3 linked regions of the Stegostoma tigrinum genome follow. Each later gene encodes a partner of the first gene's protein in a complex. Links are inferred from orthologs where the notes say so. Each region holds a gene or a part of one and is shown on either strand. Other genes may lie near its edges. The genes, in order: protein diaphanous homolog 1-like, profilin-2-like and ppfia3.

Region 1 (8,077 bases):
GCACAGAGGGATCTTGGTGTGCAGATACATAGATCCCTTAAAATGGCCACCCAAGTGGACAGGGTTGTTAAGAAAGCATATGGTGTTTTGGCTTTCATTAACAGGGGGATTGAGTTTAAGAGTCGTGAGATCATGTTGCAGCTCTATAAAACTTTGGTTAGACCGCACTTGGAATACTGCGTCAAGTTCTAGTCGCCCTATTATCGAAAAGATGTGGATGCTTTGGAGAGGGTTCAGTGGAGGTTTACCAGGATGCTGCCTGGACTGGAGGGCTTATCTTATGAAGAGAGGTTGACTGAGCTCGGACTTTTTTCATTGGAGAAAAGGAGGAGGAGAGGGAGAGGTGGAAGTGGAGAGGTGTACAAGATAATGAGAGTCATAGATAGAGTTGATAGCCAGAGACTATTTCCCATTGCAGAAATGGCTAACACGAGGGGTCATAGTTTTAAGCTGATTGGAGGAAAGTATAGAGGGGATGTCAGAGGCGGGTTCTTTACACAGAGAGTTGTGAGAACATGGAATGCGTTGCCAGCAGCAGTTGTGGAAGCAAGGTCATTGGGGACATTTAAGAGACTGCTGGACATGTATATGGTCACAGAAATTTGAGGGTGCATACATGAGGATCAATGGTCGGCACAACATCGTGCGCTGAAGTGCCTCTTCTGTGCTGTACTGTTCTATGTTCTATGTTCTATGAATGGCCCAATGTGAACCGGAAATGGCTATGTATTGAAAAATTTACATCAGCGCCAAGGGAAATGAGGAAACGTTGAAAGTGTGGGACCTACGTGTTCCTGTAAAGTGAATAGCGGGGCCAAATATTCCAGAGATCCCTGGATATCAGTGAATTTTTCAGTGCTGGATAAAGAGAAAGGGAAGATTTAAGTGGATATCAAGGGCTCAAAACAGCCCTAGAGGAGCACAAAAAGTGCATGAGCTACTTAAAAGAGAAATTTGCAGAGTGAAAAGGCGCATGACAGAGACGGTCAGAAGTTATTTAACCTGAGGGTCACCACACTTCAGTCGAGATGTTGAGAAGGAGAGTCCTTCACAGTAATGTCAATTGGTGCAGAAATTGAGCACATGCCACTGCCATCAGTTTGCATCGCAAACCAGCTCTACAACCAACTGAACTAAGGTAGCATATCCTTTGAAGAGCACCCTCCTAAAGAAGTAGCACAAATGAATCAGGGAGAATTTTGAGTCATAGAGTCACGGAACATAGTGGCAGGCCCTTCGGCCCACCATGTGTATACAGACCAACAAATTATACAAATCCTATTTACCTGCATTTGGTCCATAGCCTAATATGCCCTGACGTTTTAAGTACTCATTCAGATGTCTCTTAAATGTGATGCTTCTTTGATGAGGTGGTTGCTTTTTGAAAAGGTTTTGATTCACATAAATATTAATCTAAGCAAAAAACTGTGATTCATTCAAAACCAAGTGAGTAGGTTGCTGATAGATATTTAACTGTTCAAGGCCAATATGAAAAGATACTCCAGGACTGAAAAGGAAAGAGTTGGTTTAGAATTTATCTGCTATTTATATAAGAAGTTTTCCATAAACTTTCAAAATGAAATGGAAATACTTTAAAGGGTGAAAAGCTAAAACGAGAGAATAAAGTTGCCACCCCAGAAAGCTCGAAGGCCTAGCACGATATAATGTTGCAATCTGAAAAACAGGATATGGAAGTGAATCTGCAAGCTGTACAGCCAACAGACAAGACATTCGAGAGGGAGATCCTGAAACTTCAAGGCAAAACTTCAATGGCACATTTTTCAAATAGAAGCACTTGACAAAGTAAAGAATGACAGTATTGAGCTCAGACAGCAAATTGGCGAAGCGCATATTTAGCCCAACACTGTATCATTGAATGACTGGACGCCAATGATAAGCTGTAAGAAATGATGGAGAGTTTAAAAGAGGAAGGCTAAAAGGCAAGGAGTAATGCAAGTAGAGCTGCAAGCTTTTACTAGAAAAACCGATTGCAAAGAATTTGAAAATCATAAGCTGCAGAACTATTACACAGAGCTTGAGAGTACCAGGCTGAAAACCATCTGCTGCATGTTGCTTTTGCTTTGAAAGAAAGATTTACTTACTGTTACAACCAAGAGAGGAAGAGTAAAGCAGCAACTTCTCTTTCGATTCCTCCCACATCCTACAAAGGGGGTGGCCACGGGCACCTGCATGGGCCCCAGCTATGCCTGCCTCTTTGTAGGTTACGTGGAACAGTCCCTCTTCCGCACCTACACAGGCCCCAAACCCCACCTCTTCCTCCGTTACATTGATGACTGTATCGGCGCCGCCTCTGGCTCCCCAGAGGAGCTCGAACAGTTCATCCACTTCACCAACACCTTCCACCCCAACCTTCAGTTCACCTGGGCCATCTCCAGCACATCCCTCACCTTCCTGGACCTCTCAGCCTCCATCTCAGGCAACCAGCTTGTAACTGATGTCCATTTCAAGCCCACCGACTCCCACAGCTACCTAGAATACACCTCCTCCCTCCCACCCACCCTCCTGCAAAAATTCTATCCCCTATTCCCAATTCCTCCGCCTCCGCCGCATCTGCTCCCACGATGAGGCATTCCACTCCCGCACATCCCAGATGTCCAAGTTCTTCAAGGACCGCAACTTCCTCCACCGCAGTGGTCGAGAACGCCCTTGACTGCGTCTCCCGCAACACATCCCTCATGCCACAACTGCCCAAAGAGGATCCCCCTCGTTCTCACACACCACCCCACCAACCTCGGGATACAACGCATCATCCTCCGACACTTCCGCCATCTACAATCCAACACCACCACCCAAGACATTTTTCCATCCCCACCCTTGTCTGCTTTCCGGAGAGACCACTTTCTCCATGACTCCCTTGTTCAGTCCACACTGCCCTCCAACCCCACTACACACGGCACCTTCCCCTGCAACCACAGGAAATGCTACACTTGCCCCCACACCTCCTCCCTCACCCCTATCCCAGGCCCCAAGATGACTTTCCATATTAAGCAGAGGTTCACCTGCACATCTGCCAATGTGGTATACTGTATCCATTGTACCCGGTGTGGCTTCCTCTACATTGGGGAAACCAAGCGGAGACTTGGGGACCGCTTTGCAGAGCACCTCCGCTTGGTTCGCAATAAACAACTGCACCTCCCAGTCACGAACCATTTTAACTCCCCCTCCCATTCTTTACATGACATGTCCATCATGGGCCTCCTGCAGTGCCACAATGATGCCACCCGAAGTTTGCAGGAACAGCAACTCATATTCCGCTTGGGAACACTGCAGCCCTAATGGTATCAATGTATACTTCACCAGGCTCAAAATCTCCCCTTCCCCCACCACATCCCAAAACCAGCCCAGTTCGTCCCCTCCCCCCACTGCATCACACAACCAGCCCAGCTCTTCCCCTTCTCCCACTGCATCCCAAAACCAGCCCAGCCTGTCTCTGCCTCCCTAATCTGTTCTTCCTCTCACGCATCCCTTCCTTGCACCCCAAGCCGCAACTCCATTTCCTACCTACTAACCACATCCCACCTCCTTGACCTGTCCGTCTTCCCTGGACTGACCTATCCCCTCCCTACCTATACTCTCTTCTCCACCTATCTTCTTTTCTCTCCATCTTCGGTCCGCCTCCCCCTCTCTCCCTATTTATTCCAGAACCCTCACCCCATCCTCCTCTCTGATGAAGGGTCTAGGCCCGAAACGTCAGCTTTTGTGCTCCTGAGATGCTGCTTGGCCTGCTGTGTTCATCCTGCTTCACACTTTATTATCTTGGATTCTCCAGCATCTGCAGTTCCCACTATCTCCTTTTTAACTTTCTCTCTATCAATTTCAAAAAAATTTTTAAAAGTTTTTTAGATTCCCTACGGTGTGGAAACAGGCCCTTCGGCCCAACAAGTCCACACCTCCCCTTGAAGCATCCCACCCAGACCCATCCCCCTATAACCCATACACCCCTAAACACTACGGGCAATTTAGCATGGCTGATCCATCTAGCCTGCACATCTTTGTACTGTGGAAGAAAGCCGGAGCACCCAGAGGAAACCCACGCACACGGGGAGAAGGTGCAAACTCCACACAGACAGTTACCCGAGGCTGGAATTGAACCTGGGTCCCTGGTGCTGTGAGACTGCAGTGTTAACCACTGAGCCATCATGCCGCCACACAGCTATATGAAGTGTCATTTAAAATGCGATTACATCGATCAAAATGAAGAAGCCAATTACAATGTTTACTTGAATGTAAGAAAAAAAGACATTTTGAAATTAAAAATATAATAAAAGCACATCAAATACATACAGCATGACATAACTTTAAAAGAGAAAGCATCTGATACAGACAAGGTTATGCAGTTTTATTGTCCTTTGACTCCTTGAAGTGTTAAGATTTTTAACCTGAGACCAAATGTATTTGTTTTATAAAAACCAAAAGAACTGCAGATGCTGTAAATCAGGAACAAAAACAAAGTTGCTGGGAAAGCTCAGCAGGTCTGGAAGCATCTGTGAAGAAGAAAACAGAGTTAGTGTTTCAGGTCCAGTGACCCTTCCTCAGAACTGATGGTGGCTGGGAAATCATCAGTTTACATGCAGAAATTCGCGAGGTGGGTGGGGTAGGGAGTAAACGATAGGATAGAAGAGAGAGAAAGACACTTGGACAGACAACAGAGTTACTAACGATCAGGCTGGGAGAGTGAATAATTGTTAACGGGGATTGTTAGTGACCAACAACAGGAGGTGTGTAATGGCAAGCTATGTGGTAACAAAGCTGGATGAACACAGCAGGCCAAGCAGCATCAAAGGAGCAGGAAGGCTGACGTTTCGAGCCTAGACCCTTCTTCAGAAAAAAATTCAGGCCTGCTGTGTTCATCCAGCTGTACACTTTGTTATCCCTGGCGTTGAGGGGCTGTGTTTCATACTGTGTCAGTGCCTGCCGCAGGAGTGCAGCATTGCCTTTCTCCCCTGTGCCCCCACCTCGACCCCGCCCCCTCCCGCGAGCTGGCGCTCGCTGAGGGAGCAGCGTGGCTCCAAGGGCAGACGCTGCCCGGTCTCTCACACACAACCATCTGCAACAATTTATACAGAATATTTTAACTTCGTTTGTTCTCTCTGCCCACTTTCTGGAAGGAAACGGCATGTCATTACCATTTTGGCAAAAAGAAGTACCGTGAGGCGAGGGGAGGGACTTACAACACCACACCCTCCACCCCTCCCCGCTGAGCGGGCTCGAGTAGGAATCGCAGCCGGCAGCCCGCGCCTAGGCCCCGGGCTCTGGCCGTCAGCCGTTCACAGCGCTTGGCAAGAGTGGGAGGGGTTTCGAAAGAGAAGGACAGGAACAGTCCACTACACCCCTCCGCATTGAAAGAGCAGCCGAATGAGATACGTTGATCCAAGAGATTAGAGACTGAAAGGTTTCAGGAGAAAATAAGTTTACCACGGGAGCAATAAATAAGTAAAACCATGGAGGGAAGGAATGAGGCTTCAGGTCCTTCTAGGGGGAAGGAAAAGTCCGGTAAAATGAAGAAAAGCCTGGAGGAAGGAGAAAAGAAAACCAAATTTGTGAGTTCTTATGTTTGCCTTTAGAATTATTTTCTAATTTGGGGGGATAGCTGTGAAAGTGTGGAAGGTTTCACCTTTGTCTGAAGACCACAGTTGTGAGAGCAGCGCCCTTACCTGCCTGTGCAGGTACTCTGAAGGCCCCCATCTCTCAAAGGGGCACAGAGGCGTCCCAAAGAACAACCCCTGAGCTGAAATAGGCGCTGCCTCTATATATTTTCTCCCCAGTTGTGTATTTCTTTTTCTTGATTTCATCACGAACACTGTCGAGGCAGTGTCGGTGGTTCGGCGCAGCCGTCCTTTTGGCGCTCTGGCTGCCCCCACTTTTCACGAGAAGGAAGGTTATTGGGAGTATTGAGTTGATAATATGTGTCTATATGGGCGTGCAGAAGGCACTACTTCCCACTTGCAAAAGGAAAGTCTTTTTTTTCGCTATTGACACATTTCTGCTCAACCTGTCATGTTGCCGAGCACACTGACTCTCTCTCGTCCATAGTCATTGGGTCACGCCAAAGTTTAAAACTTGTTTAGCACGTTCGTACTCAGATTTCCGTTGGTCACTGCACTGAATTCAAATCAGCAAGCGAGAATTATTTTTGTTCAGCATTGTATATGTTGAGTGGAACAGAATTTGAACTGCACAAATAAAGTCTCGAAGTTCTTTTAAACTTAGCAATGCTGTATTATGGCTGTTCAGTACCAATCCTACAGTGCAAACATGTGGTCCGGTCAAATTTAAAAGGGGAGCTAAAGGCCATTCCTGTTTTGAGTTTTTGCATGTTTAAGATAGGTGCTCCAGCAGTGACGTATGCTAAAGGTAGTGGGGAGCCAGTTGTTCATTCCACCACCTAGACATGTGGCTAGCTGTCTGTTACACTGGATTCTACAAATCTTGGATCAGTGCTCTCCTGTTAATGTCTTTTAATCAAAGTTGTCTACTTAGCCACATGTTTTGATTTCCAAACGTTGTTATGCTTGTGTATATATGAAAATTTTTACAACAAAATTTTCTGCTGCAATGTTCGTGTTGCTTCTGAGGGTCTGCATTTTCACTTCCTTCACACCACAGTCCCCGGTCTCGTCTTCCTTCAATTTTCTTCTTTTTTTAAACATAGCCTTTCATGATAGTTATCTCAAATGTAACTGTCTTTACATGATAATACTGGCATAAGAGAAATGTTGCTGAGCTAGTTATACATAGATTCAAGCAAACATTTGGAGCACGTGAGCTTGAATCCATCAAAGCAGCTGGTGGAATCTAAACTTTATTAATAAAGTCTGGAATTTTTAAGCTGGTCTTATTCATAGTGACAGTGAAGTTATTGATTGTTGTAAAGATCTAGCTCATTCACTACTATCATTTAAAGGAGGAATTCTACCAGAGTTACCTGTTTTGGTCCACGTGTGGCTTAAGATCCAAAGAAATGTGATTGAGTTTTGACAAACAGTTTTCAAGGACTTTTGGAGTGATGAGCAACAAATGCTGACCTTGTCAGCAATGCCTACTTCCCATGAAAGCCTAAAATAAGTTTAAAAACAAAAAGAACTGCGGATGCTGTAAATCAGGAACAAAAACAAAGTTGCTGGAAAAGCTCAGCAGGTCTGGCAATATCTGTGGAGGAGAAAACAGTTAACATTTCTGGTCCGGTGACCCTTCCTCAGAACATTTGCCTCATTCCTCCTCGTGGGTCCTTGCTGTGCATAGATTGGCTAGATTTGCTTTCGCAACGATGATGACTAAATTTGTTATTCAGCTGTTTAAGGCAAGATATAAAATCAAGTCTTCATACCTGGAAAGCTAGTTGGGTCACCTGGGAAGTATTTCCCTTGTTTAAAGGTTGACTGTATTTGAAAATTGTTTATTTAATTCAAAGTACTGTAGGGAATTCAGGTGTTGTGAAAGATGCTATGTAAGTGTAGTATGTGCTATGTTTGCAACACTTAATTTCGCCATTCTAGAGTCAGAGTTGTAAAGCACGGAAACAGACTCTTTGGCCCAACCCATCCATGCTGACAAATATTCAAACTAATGTAGTCCCATTTGCCAGCATTTGGTCCGTGCTCCTCCAAAGCCATCTTATTCATATACCCATCTATGTGCCTTTCAGGTGTTGTGGTTGCACCAGTTTCCACTCCCTCTGGCAGCTTATTTTGATACGTACACCAGTCGTGCAAGAAAAAGTTGCCCCTTAGGTCCCTTTTAAATCTTGCCCCGCTCACCTTAAACCTATGCTGTCCAGTTTTTGACTCTCCCACCCTGGGAAAAAGCTTATGTATTCACCCTAACCATTGACCTCTGATTTTATAAACCTCCTTAAGTTTACCCTTCAGCCTCTGCTCCAGGGAAAATTGCCCCAACTTCTCCCGTGAGTTCAAACCCTCAAACTCCAGCCATATTCTTGTAAATCTTTTCTGAACCTTTTCAAACTTAACAACATCTTTCCTATAGCAGGGAGACTAGAAGTGAATGTACTATTCCAAAAGTGGTCTAACCAATGTCCTGTGCGGCCACAATATGA
Region 2 (7,920 bases), on another chromosome or scaffold:
GTATATATCATATATATACACAGAAATAGAGCTAATTTTATAATCAACAATAGGAACATTTTTTAGTTGGGTATTTTTGATGTGTCAATATCTAGAATAGTTTCCTGTAACAAATGGACATGAAAGAGCTTGCCTCTACAAATGTTTCTAAACAATTCATTTATGTATGCAATTGCTATCAGATGTAATATATACTAGTGAATTCCCCACTTTGCCTGAAGGCAAAGTCACTTAGCCACAACAAAGTCCTGTGGTTTTTAATTGTAGGTTATGTGATGATGGAGACCTTAAGTTTATCTTAACCAGAATATTGAGCGAATCCTGTGCTCATGTGATCAATCTGGTCAATGGGGCTAGCTAGTTCCCACTCCCAATCCCCCTCGGTAGATATGATAAAAAGCCTGCAGAAGATAAAAGATTAGATACCATTTCTATGTTCTTTAATGTGGTCTGCTTATGACAATAAGCCATTTGCTCAAGATTACTGCAAAATAAGAACATAAGAAAAAACAAAAACAAGAGTAGGCCATTCAGCCCTTTGATCCTGTTCTGTCATTCAATAAGATCATGGCAGACTTTTACCTCCACAGCCGAGAGATTACCAAAGATTCAAAGGAAATTGTTTCTCATCTTAGTCCTTTGCTAACTGACACCTGATTTGGAGAATGGGAGCCACAGTTCTAGATTCCATAGTTCAGGGTCCTTGTGCATGTAACACAGAAATCAAGCACACAATTGCTGCAGGTAATCAGGGTGGCTTATTTCAGTGTGTTTGGAGTATAAGAGTAAGGAAGGCTTACTGTAACTGTACAAGATGCCAGTGAGACCACATCTGAAGTACTGTACAGTTTTGGTCCCATAATTTCTGAAAATACATCATTTCCTTAGAAGCAGTTCAGAAAAGGTTCACGAGGATGATACTAAAACAGAAAATGCTGGAAAAACTCAGCAGGTCTCAGCATCAATGGAGAGAAATCAGAGATAACATTTCGGATCCAGTGACACATCTTCAGAATGATATGGAGGGATTGTCCCCTCCCCCCACTGCATCACAAAATCAGCCCAGCTTGTCCCCGCCTCCCTAACCTGTTCTTCCTCTCACCTATCCCCTCCTCCCACCTCAAGCCGCACCTCCATTTCTCACCTACCAACCTCATCCCGCCTCCTTGACCCATCCATCCTCCCTGGACTGATCTACCCCGTCCCCACCTCCCAACCCACACTCTCCTCTCCACCTATCTTCTCCTAAATCCATCTTCGGTCCGCCTCCCCCTCTCTCCCTATTTATTTCAGAACCCTCTCCCCATTCCCCTCTCTGATGAAGGATCTAGGCCTGAAACCTCAGCTTTGTGCTCCTGAGATGCTGCTTGGCCTCCTGTGTTCATCCAGCTTCACACTTTGTTATCTTGGAGGGATTGTCTGTTGGGCAAAAGCTAAACAGGTTGGGACAGTACTCAATGGAGTTTAGAAGAATGAGGTATCTCATTGAGAGGCATAGGATTCATTTGTGGTTCGCAGGGTAAGTGTTGAGAGGAGGTTCCCCTCATGAGAGAGTCTAGGATGACAGGAACAGTTTTGGGAGAAATGGGCACCAATTTAAGACTGAGATGAGGACCATTGCATGTCTTTGGAAACCCTTACCACAGAGACCTGTGGGGGCAGAATCATTGTATATTTAAGGCTAAGATAGATTCTTGATCAGTAGGGGAATCAAAGGTTATGGGGGGGAGGGGAAGGCAGGAAAGTAGAGCTGAGGAATGTCAAATCAGCCATGATTCTATTGAATCGTGGAGCAAGTTCAAGGGATTGAACGGCCTACTCCTATTGCTATTTCTTATGGTCTTATGATGATGGGGTGGGGGCACTGTGAGCAGAAATAATTTCTTGTTAGCCAGCTATTATTGAGAATTTAGTATCAATGAGATGTGTTGGTAAGATTGACATGAATTGGTCTTTCATTCCTCTTGAAACACATTAGATCTTGAGGAAGTCTTGATAGGGCGCACGCGGAAAGGATTTTCCTCTTGTGGGAGACTCTTGAACAAAGTTGGAGGTGGGTCACTGTTAAAAAAAAAGTGGTTGCCCATTTAAGTCAGTGATATCAGATGATCCCAAATCTTTGGAACTCTCTTCCTTGGAAGGCAGTTTTTGCATATTTTTAAGGTAAGGTATATAGATTATTGTTGAGCAAGGTGATAAAAGGGATGATGGGGTAGCAGGAAGGCAAGAATATGCAGCATTCAGATCAACCAAAATCCAACTGAATGGCAGAGCAGGCTTGAAGGTCTGAGTCCTGTTTCTAATTCAATCTTAATTCCGATTCTCAGGGGGCTGTTGTGGGTCAGTGGTTGTGTCCCTAACTCCGAACTGGGAGACCGAATTCAAGTCCTACCATGCCAGACGTGTCATTACATAGAATCACGCAGTACAGAAAAAGCCATTCAGCTCATTGAGTCTATATCACCAAACGTACACTGCTTTCACTCCATTGTAAAGTCAGAAGTACGGACGTTCACTGATCACATTCACGACTCTTCAGATGCTGAAACAGTCTATGTTCAATTACAATAAGGTTTGGACAATTTCCAGGCTTGGAGTGTCAAGTGGCAACGAACATTTATGCCTCACAAATGCCACGCCCAGGCAATGACCATCTCCAATAAAAGCCAATCTAACCACTGGCACTTCACATTCAATGGTGCTACCACCACTGGATCCCCCACCATCAACATCCTGGGGTTACCATTGGCCAGAAACTCAAATGGACTTGTCATATTATACAGTGGCTACAGGATCAAGACAGAAGCTAGGAATACTGTGGTGAGTAACTCACCTCCTGATTGCCAAGAGCCTCTGTACCATTTACAAAATGGTAAATAAGAAGTGTGATGGAATACTCCCCATTTACCTGGATGGGTGCAGGTCCAACAACATTCAAGAAGCTTGATAAAAACTGAAAGAACTGCAGATGCTGGAAAAGCTCAGCAGGTCTGGCAACAGAAGTTGCTGGAAAAGCTCAACAGTGTCAGTGTAGAAAAAACTTAGTGAACTAAGGAAGGGTCATCGGACCCAAAACGTTAACTCTGATTTTTTTCTTCACAGATGCTGCCAGACCTGCTGAGCTTTTCCAGCAATTTCTGATTTTGTTCCTCAAGAAGGTTGACACCAGCCAGGACAATGCAACCCACTGAATTGGCACCACATCCTCAAGCATCCATACCTTCCACCATTGACGCTCAGGAGCAGCAGTGTGTATAAGATGCACTGTTGAAATTGCCAGAGATCCTCAGACTGCGCCTTCCGAAACCACAAACAATTCTATCCAGAAGGAAAAGTACAGCTGATATATTGAAACAGCATCACTTGCAAGTTCCTCTCCAAACCACTCATCATCCAGATTTGGACATATATCGCTGTTCTATCAGTGTTGCTGGGTCAAAATCCTGGAATTTCTTCCCTCAGGGCTTTGTGGGCATGCTGGCTACAGCAGTTCAGAGGGCAGCTCACCACCACCTTCTCAAGGGCAACGAGATATGGGGAACAAATGCAGGCCAGCCAGGAATGCTCAAATCCCACAAATGAATAAACAAACACTTTCCCAGTCTAGACTCATAGCTTTGAATGTGATGACAATTCAAGTGTTCTTTCAAGCACTTATTAAAAGTTGTGAGATTACTGCCCTTCCAGGCAATTCATTCAAGACCTCCACCAACTTCTTGGCGAAAACGATTTTCCTCAAATTCCCTCAGAGCTTCCTGCCTTTCACTTTAAAGTGATTGCCCCTTGTTACTGACCCTTTGACTAAGGAAATCAGCAACTTTTGGTTCACACTAAGAACCTCACAGTCTTACCTAGCTCTGTCAGATCCCCTGTTGACAAATGGGGAAGGCTGAAGATCTGAGATAAAAACAGAATTGCCGGAGAAACCCAGCAGGTCTGGCAGCCTGAATACAGAGAGAAAGCAGAGTTAGCATTTCGATTCCAGTGACCCTTCTTCAGAACCCCGAACTAGATGATTAGAAAACATCTGTTGGCAATTGACATGAGTCCTTTATTCATTCATGCGATGAGGGTGTCACTGGCTAGGCAGCATTGATTGCCCATCCTTAAGAGTCAACCACACTGTTGTGGGTCTGAAGTCACATGTAAGCCAGACTAGGTAAAGATGGCAATAAAGGCATTAGTGAATCAGAGACAGTAGGAACTGCTGATGCTGGAGAATCTGAGGATAACAAGGTGTAGATAACAAAGTGTGAAGCTGGATGAACACAGCAGGCCAAGCAGCATCTCAGGAGCACAAAAGCTGACGTTTCGGGCCTAGACCCTTCAATCAGTTCATCCAGCTTCACATTTTATTATCTTGGAATTCTCCAGCATCTGCAGTTCCCATTATCTCTGACAAGGTGTAGAGCTGGACGAACATAGCTGGCAAGGCAGCAACAGAGGAGTAGGAAGGCTGACGTTTCGAGTCTGGATCATTCTTCAGAAAAAAAAATGAACCAGGAAACCAGTTGGGTTTTTCCTGACAATTGGCAGTATCTTTAGTCATCATTACATTCTTAATGATCCCCTCATGTTCTCAAAGTCTAGCGTAGCTAATCACTCCTGTATTTTTGAATGGAGTTAATCTGGAGGATTACTTGCTCTGAGTGTGTCTCCCTTTGTAACCATTCGGCCCGCACCCATGGCACCTATCCTCCCTGGGACGGGGCGGGGACAACAGTGCGGCTGAGCCGGCTGCCGCCCGCGCGCGCGCGCCCCGGACGGACCGGGTTCGGCGGGAGCGAGGAAATCAGGACGCACGCGCGGCAGGCAACGGCCGTGGATGGGGGCGGGGGGGGGGGGGGGCGGAGAGGAGCGCGCTCCGCGTCCTGATTTCCTCGCTCCCGCTCCGCCTCATTATAACGGAGAGCTCAGCCGGCGCCTCAGCCCAGAGAGAGAGAGAGTGTGTGAGCGCAGGTAGAAGAAAGAAAAGCGAGAGAGGGAGGGGGGAAAAAAACGGGAGAAAGGGGGGGAAAAAAAAAGTTTGCATAGATTTTTGACAGAACAAAACAAGGGAGCGTGAGGGGAAAACGTAAAATAAATCGACTTTTCTCCCTTTATTTTTCTTTCGGAGTTGCCCCTCTTTCTTGAAGAGAGCCATTTTTTTTATTTCGCCCCCCCTCCCCTTTCTCTTCACACGCCATCCGTGAGCTGGGAGTTTTCTCTCGTTTAATTTTTTTTGGGCTGGTTACCTCTTTTTCTCCCGCCCTCTTTTATTTTTCTTCCCCCTTTTTTGTTTCTTATTTTATTTTCTCCCTTTTTTTTTGTTTGTTGAGTGAGGGGGATAACTGTAGTTAGACCATGTCCGGCTGGCACTGTTATGTGGAAAACCTGATGGCCGATGGAAACTGCCAGGACTCGGCCGTCGTCGGCTACACGGACGCCAAGTACGTCTGGGCAGCGGCTCCCGGAGGCACCTTCTCGGTTGTAACGGTAAGGGAAGGGAGGGGTTGTGGGGGGGCTCTGGGGGGGTGGGGAGAGGGGAGTGTTTGGTGGTTAAGATTTGAACGAAACCGTGTAAATTATTAACATTAAAAATTAGGTAGGGGTTAGTGGCGGTGGTTGGTTGTTGTGGGGGGTGGGAAGCGAATGCCTAACGAAACGTTTTGCCCTCTAATCGGGGAATAAAACGGAGTTAAACCAACGATCGATCTCTTACTCTCTCTCCCCTTTTTAAAAAAATAACATAAACAGGCATCATTAGGGGAAAATACAAAATCGTGTCCCCTCTCCCCCCATCTTTTTGTTTTTCGATATACAGTATTTTTGAAAATGTTTGCCGGGGACAAGGAGGCATCAAGTTTCTTCACCCCTCCTTTTCTCCCCCCGCCTCTTTTTGCTTCCCCCCCCCATTCGAAATGGGGGTGGTTTTTATTATTAACTCTGTTTTTTAAAGGAAGCCACTTATTGCCCAGGCCCTGACCATTAATTGCACCGGTGTGTGCGGTTATAAAATGGCGCCGTCTCCATCTTCTCATTCCACCCCCCCCCCCCATCCGACCCCAGCCCCCACTCCCACCCCCTTCTTTTCCCCCTCCTTTTTTCTACCCGATTTTCTGTCTGTTATCCCCCTCTTTTTTTCCATCCTCCTTGTGTTTCCCCCCACATTTTTTTATCAGCCCCCCCCCCACCTCCCGTGTATGTGTGTGTGTGTGTGTCCCTTGTTCCCTCCTCCTTTCTCTCTCTTCTTTCCCCCCCCCCCCCCCAGTTTTGATGCTATGATCACTGGTAAAGAGGGGTGGGGTGTGGGGACGAGAGAACACTGAACTGTCTCCTCAAAGACTGAGGGAAGGCTTGGGGAAGGGTATTTGCATGGGGAAGGGGAAGGGGAAGATGTTGTTTAAAATTGTCCTTCTACCTCCTAATTATAAACCTCCTTGATGTACTTTTGAGACAGTTGGCTGTCTTACCAAAGGGTTAACTAATCACGTTTGGGAAATGGTTTTTAATTATGTGCTTCCTTTTTGTTTTTGCATCTAATAATATAATTTTTTAAAATCCTTGTGATTTAAATCAAAAGTACATGTTTGAAATCGTTTTTATTTTTAATTTCCTATTTGGTTTTGATATTTTTTCCCAGTGTAAAGGCAGATTGCTGATTCTGGTAGAAAATTCTAGAAAACTTGCTGTGTGGCCAGCCTCGTCGTCCTCTGTGCATAACGATGGAGATTGCCAGTTTCAAATATATCTTTCCTAATCGTTCACATTCAGGGTTTTCATCATGAAATGAGGAGCAGTGCTTCTGTCTGTCTACAGCTTAAGAATCACTGCACTTTTTAAAGGGAAATATGTTAATTCTCCCTTTTTCATGTGGACTTAATACTGCAGAAAGATCAGGCAAAGGTAAAGGTTTTCTCTTTAAATAGGAGAACCTAATGTGCTTCATGGTGAACTTATGAAATTGTACTCTTATGGTGGGGGATTTGGCAGAGTCTGTGTGTTGCAGCATCATTTGTAGAAAGTAATCTTGTTTGTAACTCCTTAACACCCTAAGACTTATTTACATTGCTTTTTAAATCAAATTGAAGTATGTAAAGATGAGGCCCATTTGAACCTGATCTTTTCTTTTTGCCAAGTTCCCATCTTGTAGGCAAGAAATTACTGTTAGTGAAACTGTCTAGGAATTGTGCTTTCTGGTGTTTGTGGTTCACAGGGTTAGGGTTCTCATATTGCTGAATTATTAGCTTTTTTCTTCCTTCCTGTTGTGGTTTTTTGTGTATGAGCGTTTTGTTCTGATTTCTCTTCTCTTCCCCCCGCCCCCCCCCCCCCCCCCCCCCCCCCCCCCCCCGCCCCGGCCTGCAAGGCATGACTGTGCAGTTCAGCTCAGATGTGGTGGGAGGGCGCAGTTTTCCATGTCAGAGCGGACATCAGCTACTTTTTTCCCCTTTTAAAAAAACATTATGCTGAAATGGGCAGATGTTTTTAAGCTTAATTTTTTTTGTCAAAATGCATAGGAACTTCAACTGGCCCAACTCATTATTTTAATATTTGGAAGGATTTGTTTCAAATGACCTTTAAACCTGTAATAATCAGGCTCATTGAGACCTGCCCATCTATGAGCAGTGTAAGGATCCCTTAGTCTTCACCGTATTTGGAATGATTTAAGCGTAAATTGATTTAAACATTTTGTACTTGCAGGAGGAGCATTTGGAATGTTTTTGGGCTGTTGAGTTTCCCTTAGTTCAGCCAAGTGTACTACTGCCCTTGACTTTGCTGGTATACGTCTGGTAAACTAACGTGAGGTTATTTAGAAGCAAATTACTCAGAATGCAATATGACAAACTTCTGGAATTGGACTATATTCAAGTATCACTCGAGATAAGCTCCCAAGGGGGTGTGTCACTATGTCGTTTGTTTGCTTTTAAGTTTTCAGCCACA
Region 3 (7,026 bases), on another chromosome or scaffold:
CCTGCCCTGGGGAATGGACCTTGGCTATTCACTCTATCCGTGCCCCTCATGATTTTATAAGCTTCTATACGGTCACCCCTCAGCCTCTGACATTCCAGGGAGGATAGACCCAGCCTATCCAGCCTCTCCTTGTAGCTCCAACCCTGGCAACCCTTGTAATTTTTTTCTGAACCCTTTCAAGTTTCACAACATTCTTCCTATAGCGGGGGATTAGAATTAGATTAGAATTGGATTAGATTAGATTCCCTACAGTGTGGGAACAGGCCCTTCCCCCAACAAGTCCACACCACCCCTTGGAGCATCCCACCCAGACCCATCCCCCTATAACCCACACACCCCTGAACGCTATGGGCAATTTAGCATGGCCAATCCACCTAACCTGTACATCTTTGGATTGTGGGAGGAAACCGGAGCACCCGGAGGAAACCCACGCAGACATGGGGAGAATGTGCAAACTCCACACAGACAGCTGAGGCTGGAATCGAACCTGGGTCCCTGGCGCTGTGAGGCTGATGTGCTAACCACGCTGTAACACTGTATTCCAAGAGAGGTCTAATTAATGTCTTGTGTAGCCTTAACATGACCTCCCAACTCTTATACTCAATGTCAATGCCAACACCAACAAAAACAGAAGTTGCTGGAAAAGCTCGGCAGGTCTGGCAGCATCTGTGAAGAAAAAACTGAGAGTTAACATTTCAGGTCCGGGGAGGCCCGAAACATTAATTCTGATGTTTTCTTAACAGTTGGACAAACGCAGTGGGGTGAGGCTCTTTTTTTTCCCCAGAGCATGAGCTTTTCCAGCAACTTCTGTTTTTGGTCCTGATGTACAGCATCGGCAGTTGTTTCTGTTCTCACATCCAATGCACTGACCAATAAAGGGAAAGCATACCAAACGCCTTCTTCACCATTCCGTCTCCCTGCAACTCCACTTTCAAGGGACTATGAGCCTGCTCCCTAACGTCTCAACGTTCAGTCACACTGCCCCAAGTTTCACTGACTGCAGGAGGGCTGATGCTAACATCCATCAGGAACCTTCAAGCTGGACAACACCACACTTCCAGCCAAGGGTGCTAGGCAACGGTGACACAATTTACAGCACCGATACGGGCCATTTGGCCTGACTCGTTCATGCTCTGGAAAAAGAAAAGAGCCTCACCCCACTGCGTTTGTCCACCTCCATCAGGACCCAGATTTCCCTGTTTCAAACAAAAACTCAAATCTTAAAGTAATCTTCTTGCTAGACTCAAAATTCAATTACTCCATTTTCCAGTTTCCATTTTTTAACAAAAATGACAGATGAAGCTGCTTCTATTCACAGGAATGCAAATTTGCGTGGTACTGTCAGAAGTCAGACACACAAATGCAAATACACATGGCCCCATTCTGCACTGATTCCACTACAGGGGGTGGGGGTCACATAGGTGATTCTTCTCCAGTAGTGCGGAAGGAAAAGTAAACTGTACATTGTGAACTAAGTCACCTTTTAAATCATATCCACAGCACTCTGAATTGTTTCTCAAAGGCATCCATCATTACGGCCTGCAGACCAACACATTACAATTATCTACCGAGTTAATCACTGCACAGACGCCGTTCAAATACCATTGGGGCACAATATAGTTATGATAAACCTAGCGCATTGAAGGGAATCATGTGTAGTTACTGGTAATGAATTGCTCGCTACAAATCGCGATTAGCACCAATAATCATTGACGGAGGCTAGCTTCAGATGAATTTAGATCCGTGCATTCTGAAAGTAGCAACGATTTTAGTTGCTCATTTTTAAAGAAAAAGTATGCTTGTATACATATAAACACTGCATCCTTTCTTTTTATGGAAGGCACAGTCGAATCCTGATCAGCCAGTAATGGAAGTCAATGATATATGGATTTAAATCTCTGACAGGCGGTGTTAGCAATCAAGGCAGTGCAGATGCAGGTATTTAAAAACCATCACGTTTTAAATGCAGAATTTACATCTATATAAAATGCCCTCCTCTTTTTCCCCTTATCTAATCACTGAAACGGTGCATTTTATTTTGGACTAGATTTGCTTTTGGTGCACGGACCACAGGAACCTAAAACCCACAGAATCATGACATGAGAGAGAGATCCGGTTGAAAATGTAAGGGGTTGCGAAATCATTGATCATCTGCGCCCTACATAGATTCTGGCTATTTCTAAACTTAAACTATTTGTATTTCCAAAAGATGCACGCATAACTGTACAGATTGTATCTGCCGCTTTACACAGACGAGTTATCAAACACAAAGTGCATATTAGAGACAGAATTTGCTCTCTCTCTCACCCTCCCTTTGCCAAAAAAGAACAGGCAATTAATCTCCAGCCCCACAAATCACTCGATGTACCCTTCATCCTGAATCAGAGTCGTGAATGTCTCTCTTGCTCTCTCAGCAGGAAGGTAGGGGAATGGGGGAGGGTGGGTGGTAGAGGATGGCAATTTTAAAAAAAATCAAAACACGCACGAAAGAGACCGACCCTCAACCTTTCAGCAAGTCCTCCCACACTCCTGCATGTTGTAATTGAAGAAGAAAAAAAATTGCAAGAAAAATCGTGATGTGGGGGACAATGTTGTAGAAATCTCACTTGAAAGCACCTCCAACTCCCTCCCTCCCTCCCCAAATATCAAGCATCCTTAAAATAAAAACGGGCTGGTGGCGGGGGGGATGCACCCATTTATCAGTCCGTAATCTCAAATGGCATGCATTATATACTCACATCTGCAAGCCAGGATTCCAGCTCTTGCCCTCTCCTGCTTCCAGCCTTCACTCTCTCCCTTCTTTCTTCTTCCCCTTCCCTTACCCCTGCATCTCTTCTCCTTGCAATCTGCAAAAGGGCAGATTGTGTAGGGGGGAAGAATTTCAGGCTAGTGCAATTAAATCCCCCCTTCCCCTTCCCCCACCATGTAAAAATAGAAATTAGAGAGGTTCCCTCACTCATCCACTACTTCCCATTGAAAAAAAGGGAGATAAGGTTCCCAGAATCCGTCCCTGCAATGCCCGCCTACCTTTAACTCCCAACTTGGAGCTCAGTCTCATCAGCTGCAGGAGCGCCCCGGGATGTCAATCATCCTGAGTGACAGCCGCGGCGGCCTATCGGAAGGGACTGGGCCCGGGCAGGCTTGCGGCCAATAGGGCGGCGGCTGGAGGGCGGGACCCTGCCTGGGGGATGATGTCATGCTTAAACCTCGCTGGGCTGGGCCAGGTGCGGTAAACCTGAGTTCTGCCTCTTCCTCCCTCCCAGCCACTGCCCTACTATACTCCCCACAAAATGCAAAGGCACTGCAAGATCTGACTGGACGCAAGCTGTTCCCAATCCATCCTTTTTGGAGGATAGGATGGGAATGCATGCTGCACAATCAGCCTTTTCCTTTGCATTGCAGTCGTCAGCCTGCGTTCCCCCCCTCCGCTTTTCCAAAATCACCGGAAAAGTGCTTTTGGTGCAAATGGAGACCGTTCGGCCCACTGTGTCTGCAACTCAGCCAGAGGATACTCAGTTTTAAAAGGTCCGGGTTCCTGCAAGCTTTCCCCTTCATTAGGAAACTTAAGATGGGAATGCATGCTGAGAAATAAGGCTTTTGCATTGCAGTCATCTGCCTGCATTGAGTCATTATTCATTAACATCCCCAATGTGGAAATAGGCCATTCGGCCCAACAAGTCCACACCAACCCACTGACGAACACTCCCGCCAGACCCAATCCCACCCTGCATTTCCCACGGCTAATGCAGCTAACCTGGACACCACGGACAATTTAGTGCAGCCAATCCATCTAAATTGCACATCTTCGGGCTGTGGGAGGAAACCACAGCATCCAGCGGAAACCCACGCAGACATGGAGGAGAATGTGCAAACTCTACACAGACAGTCCCCTGAGGGTTGAATTGCGCCCATGTCCCTGGTGCAGTGAGCCAGCAGGCCAATTACTGAGACACTGTGCCATCCTTAAACTATGCTGCATTTTCCCCTTCCAAAATTACAGAATTGTTTCATTGCAGATGGAGACCATTCGGCTCATCATATCTACAATGCTTTAAAAGGTCCATGTTCCTCCAAGCTGTCCCAAATCAATCTCCCCTTCATTATGGAACTTATGATGGGAATACAGAAATAAGCCTTTTGCAGGTTTTTGTGAGCCCGTATTCTCCACTTCAAAAATTACAGAAGTGTTTTGGTGCACATGGAGGCCATTCAGCCCTTGTGTCTGCACCTAGGTAAACAAAATTGCCCAGATTTAAGAGGTCCATTTTCCAGCAACATGCCCCAAATCAATCATTCTGGGTTTTTTTGGAAGAACATAAAAACTGGGAGCAGGAGTAGACCATCTGGGCCCTCGATCCTGGCCTGCCATTTAATAGGATCATGGATGATCTTTGAGACTCAGCTCCATTTACCCGCCCACTCACCATAACCCTTAAAACCTTTACTGTTCAAAAATTTATCCATCCCTGCCTTAAAAACATTCAGCGAGGTAGCTTCAACCACTTCACCGGGCAGGGAATTCCACAGATTCATAACCCTTTGGGTGAAGAAGTTCCTCCTGACCTCAGTCCTACATCTGCTTTCCCTTATTTTGAGGCGATGTCCCCTAGTCCTAGTTTCACCTGCTAGCAGAAACAACCTCCCTGCCTCCACCTTATCTATTCCCTTCATAATCTTATATGTTTCGATAAGATCTCCTCTCATTCTTCTGAATTCCAATGAGTATAATCCCAGCCTACTCAGTCTCTCCTCATAATCCAACCCTCTCAACTCTAGAATCAACCGAGTGAATTTCCTCTGCACCCCCTCCAGTGCTAGTATATCTCTTCAAGTAAGGAGACAAAAACTGCACTCAGTACTCCAGGAGTGGCCTCACCAGGACCCTATACAGCTGCAGCTGTTTTTAAACTCCATCCCTCGAGCAATGATGGACAAAATTCCATTTGCCTTTTTAATCACCTGCTGCACCTGCAATCCCACCTTCAGCGATTCATGCACAAGGACACCCAAGTCCCTCTGCACAGCAGTATGCTGCAGTTTTTTACCTTTTAAAACATAGTCCATTTTGCTGTTATTCCTACCAAAATGGATGACTGGGATAGGCTGGGACTACATGCTAAGCAAGAAGCCTATGATCGCATGCAGTCATCAGCCTGTATTTATAGAAACTAGGAGTAGCATAAGCGATTCAGTCCCCTGAGCCTGCTCCACCATATAAAATGAAAATTACAGAAGTGTTTTGTGCAGAAGAAGGCTATTCAGCCCACTCTGTCTGCACCAGAGCCTAAAAGTGCTTGAGTTGAAAAGGTTCAGTTTCCTCTGAGCTGTCTCCAATTCTGTTTTGAAAGATAGGATGGGAATGCATGCAGCAAAATAAACCTTTTGCATGCTGTCATCGTGTCGTCGGCCCGTGTTCTCCAAAGTCACAGAAGTGTTTTGATGCAGGACACAAGAACATAACAACCAGGAATAGAAGTAGGCCATTCAGCCCTCCAAGCCTGCTCCCCCATTCAATAAAATCATACCGATTTCAACTCGGCCTCAACTCCACTTTTCTGCCCATTCTCCGTGATCCTTCAATCTTTAAAAATCTGTTGATTTCCTCCTTAAATTTACTCAATGTCCTGGCATCCACCACACTCTGGGACAGTGATTTCCACAGATTCGTGACCTTTTGAAAGAAGTAATTCCTCTGCATCTCTGTTTTAAATATGCCACTCATTATCTTAAAACCAGGGTCACTTGTTTAAGATTGCCCCAAATGAGGAGATATTCTCTCTACGTCTGCTTTGTCAATCCCCTTCGGTGTCTCATACACCTCAATTAGATCGCCTCTCATTCTGCTAACTCTAGTGACTATAGGCCTAAAGTGTTCAATCTCTCTTCATAAAGCAAACCCCTTACCTCTGGAATCTAGTAAACCTCCTCTGAATTGCCCCCAGTGTACCTACATTTCTCTTCAGCTAAGAGGCCATTCAGCCTTCCCGCAAGGTGTCCCAAACTGATCTCCCCCCTTTCTTCTTTGGAAGATAGGGTGGGAATGCGCATTCAGAAATAAGCAAACAGGCATTAGCCTGCATCCTCCCTTCAAAATCACAGAAGTGTTGTTGGGCAAGAGGACCCCATTCAGCACTTTAGATTCGTACAGCTCTACATTGCCCCACTGCATCCTGATTGGTCAGAAACAACCACCACACTATTCTAATCCCACTTCCCAGCCTTTGCCCCACAGCTTTGTGTGCATTGGCATCACCAGGCATGTTTGGTCAGTGAAGGTTTCGTCCATATTAAGGTGCGCCATAACACTAAAGGCTTCCAGCGTTCCAAACAGTAGCGTGCCTGCCTGTCAGCTTTGCTGGTTTTGCCAGACCGAGCCAATCATTTGCGGCATCTTTTTAGTTTATTTCGGCGAGAGTAGAGTTTTCTTTTTGATTGTACTGTACCTCACTCGATGATTGTTAGGGTTACACAGATTCTCGGTAGCATCAACTTAACTTAGAAGGGCCAGCCTACGACACACAATGAAGCACAGTCCGCTCCGTACCGTTGTCTCCTCTCTCACATTCTTCCCACTTCCAACCTTTGGGTTGGGTAGGACATTTCCACTTTGCTGTGGAGGCACCTGGCAGTTTGAAATGGAGTATTTCCACTTATGGACCATATTTATTCTAGTTTATGGATGGCCTGTTTTTGCTTATTCTGGTCAGTTTATTGCGTTCTAATCAGCGTTGCCTCTGTTGCTGAAACCGTTTTCCACAAATGCTTTCTTTAACGCCTCCTGTTATCACTGCTGTGGTTGTAGTGTAGGGCAGGCCAGCGGAAGTATTAAATACTGTTTACCTGTTACACATTACTTCATTAAAACTCGTCACACTGCTTTTAAATGAAATAAAATCACAGAACGATTTCAGAGCAGAGAGGCACAGTTCAGCCCATCATGTCAGTGCTGGTTCTCCACATGAGCATTTCACTCACTGCCCAGCTTTTTCCCTGTGTCCCTGCACGATGCCCCTTTCTCCTCAAATG

Evidence for each region.
Region 2: the proteins of protein diaphanous homolog 1-like (region 1) and profilin-2-like are in contact, whole or in part, in a crystal structure (PDB 2V8F), measured with the Mus musculus proteins. The link is inferred for Stegostoma tigrinum from reciprocal best matches to the Homo sapiens genes DIAPH1 and PFN2. Residues at the interface, in NP_031884.1 of Mus musculus: Ile635, Pro636, Pro637, Pro638, Pro639, Pro640, Leu641; in NP_062283.1 of Mus musculus: Ala2, Gly3, Trp4, Ser6, Tyr7, Asn10, Ala28, Tyr30, Trp32, Arg108, Met131, Tyr134, Leu135, Ser138, Phe140.
Region 3: the proteins of protein diaphanous homolog 1-like (region 1) and ppfia3 are in contact, whole or in part, in a crystal structure (PDB 4UWX), measured with the Mus musculus proteins. The link is inferred for Stegostoma tigrinum from reciprocal best matches to the Homo sapiens genes DIAPH1 and PPFIA3. Residues at the interface, in NP_031884.1 of Mus musculus: Lys252, Ser255, Ala256, Ile259, Gln307, Asn310, Ala311, Thr314, Pro315, Ala316, Glu317, Arg322, Gln352, Cys354, Val355, Glu358, Gln359, Glu362; in NP_084017.2 of Mus musculus: Pro719, Arg720, Arg723, Leu724, Arg726, Met727, Ala728, Ala730, Leu731.

What each region holds. Positions count from the first base shown.
Region 1 is NC_081366.1:6,062,734-6,070,810, forward strand, and holds the start of protein diaphanous homolog 1-like, read left to right. Parts: upstream 1-5,048; 5' UTR 5,049-5,462; coding exon 5,463-5,561; intron 5,562-8,077. UniProt on the Homo sapiens protein: Actin nucleation and elongation factor required for the assembly of F-actin structures, such as actin cables and stress fibers. Binds to the barbed end of the actin filament and slows down actin polymerization and depolymerization.
Region 2 is NC_081367.1:67,362,718-67,370,637, forward strand, and holds the start of profilin-2-like, read left to right. Parts: upstream 1-4,891; 5' UTR 4,892-5,343; coding exon 5,344-5,475; intron 5,476-7,920. UniProt on the Homo sapiens protein: Binds to actin and affects the structure of the cytoskeleton. At high concentrations, profilin prevents the polymerization of actin, whereas it enhances it at low concentrations. By binding to PIP2, it inhibits the formation of IP3 and DG.
Region 3 is NC_081391.1:19,530,204-19,537,229, reverse strand, and holds the start of ppfia3 (liprin-alpha-3), read right to left. Parts: upstream 3,026-7,026; 5' UTR 2,739-3,025; intron 1-2,738. UniProt on the Homo sapiens protein: May regulate the disassembly of focal adhesions. May localize receptor-like tyrosine phosphatases type 2A at specific sites on the plasma membrane, possibly regulating their interaction with the extracellular environment and their association with substrates.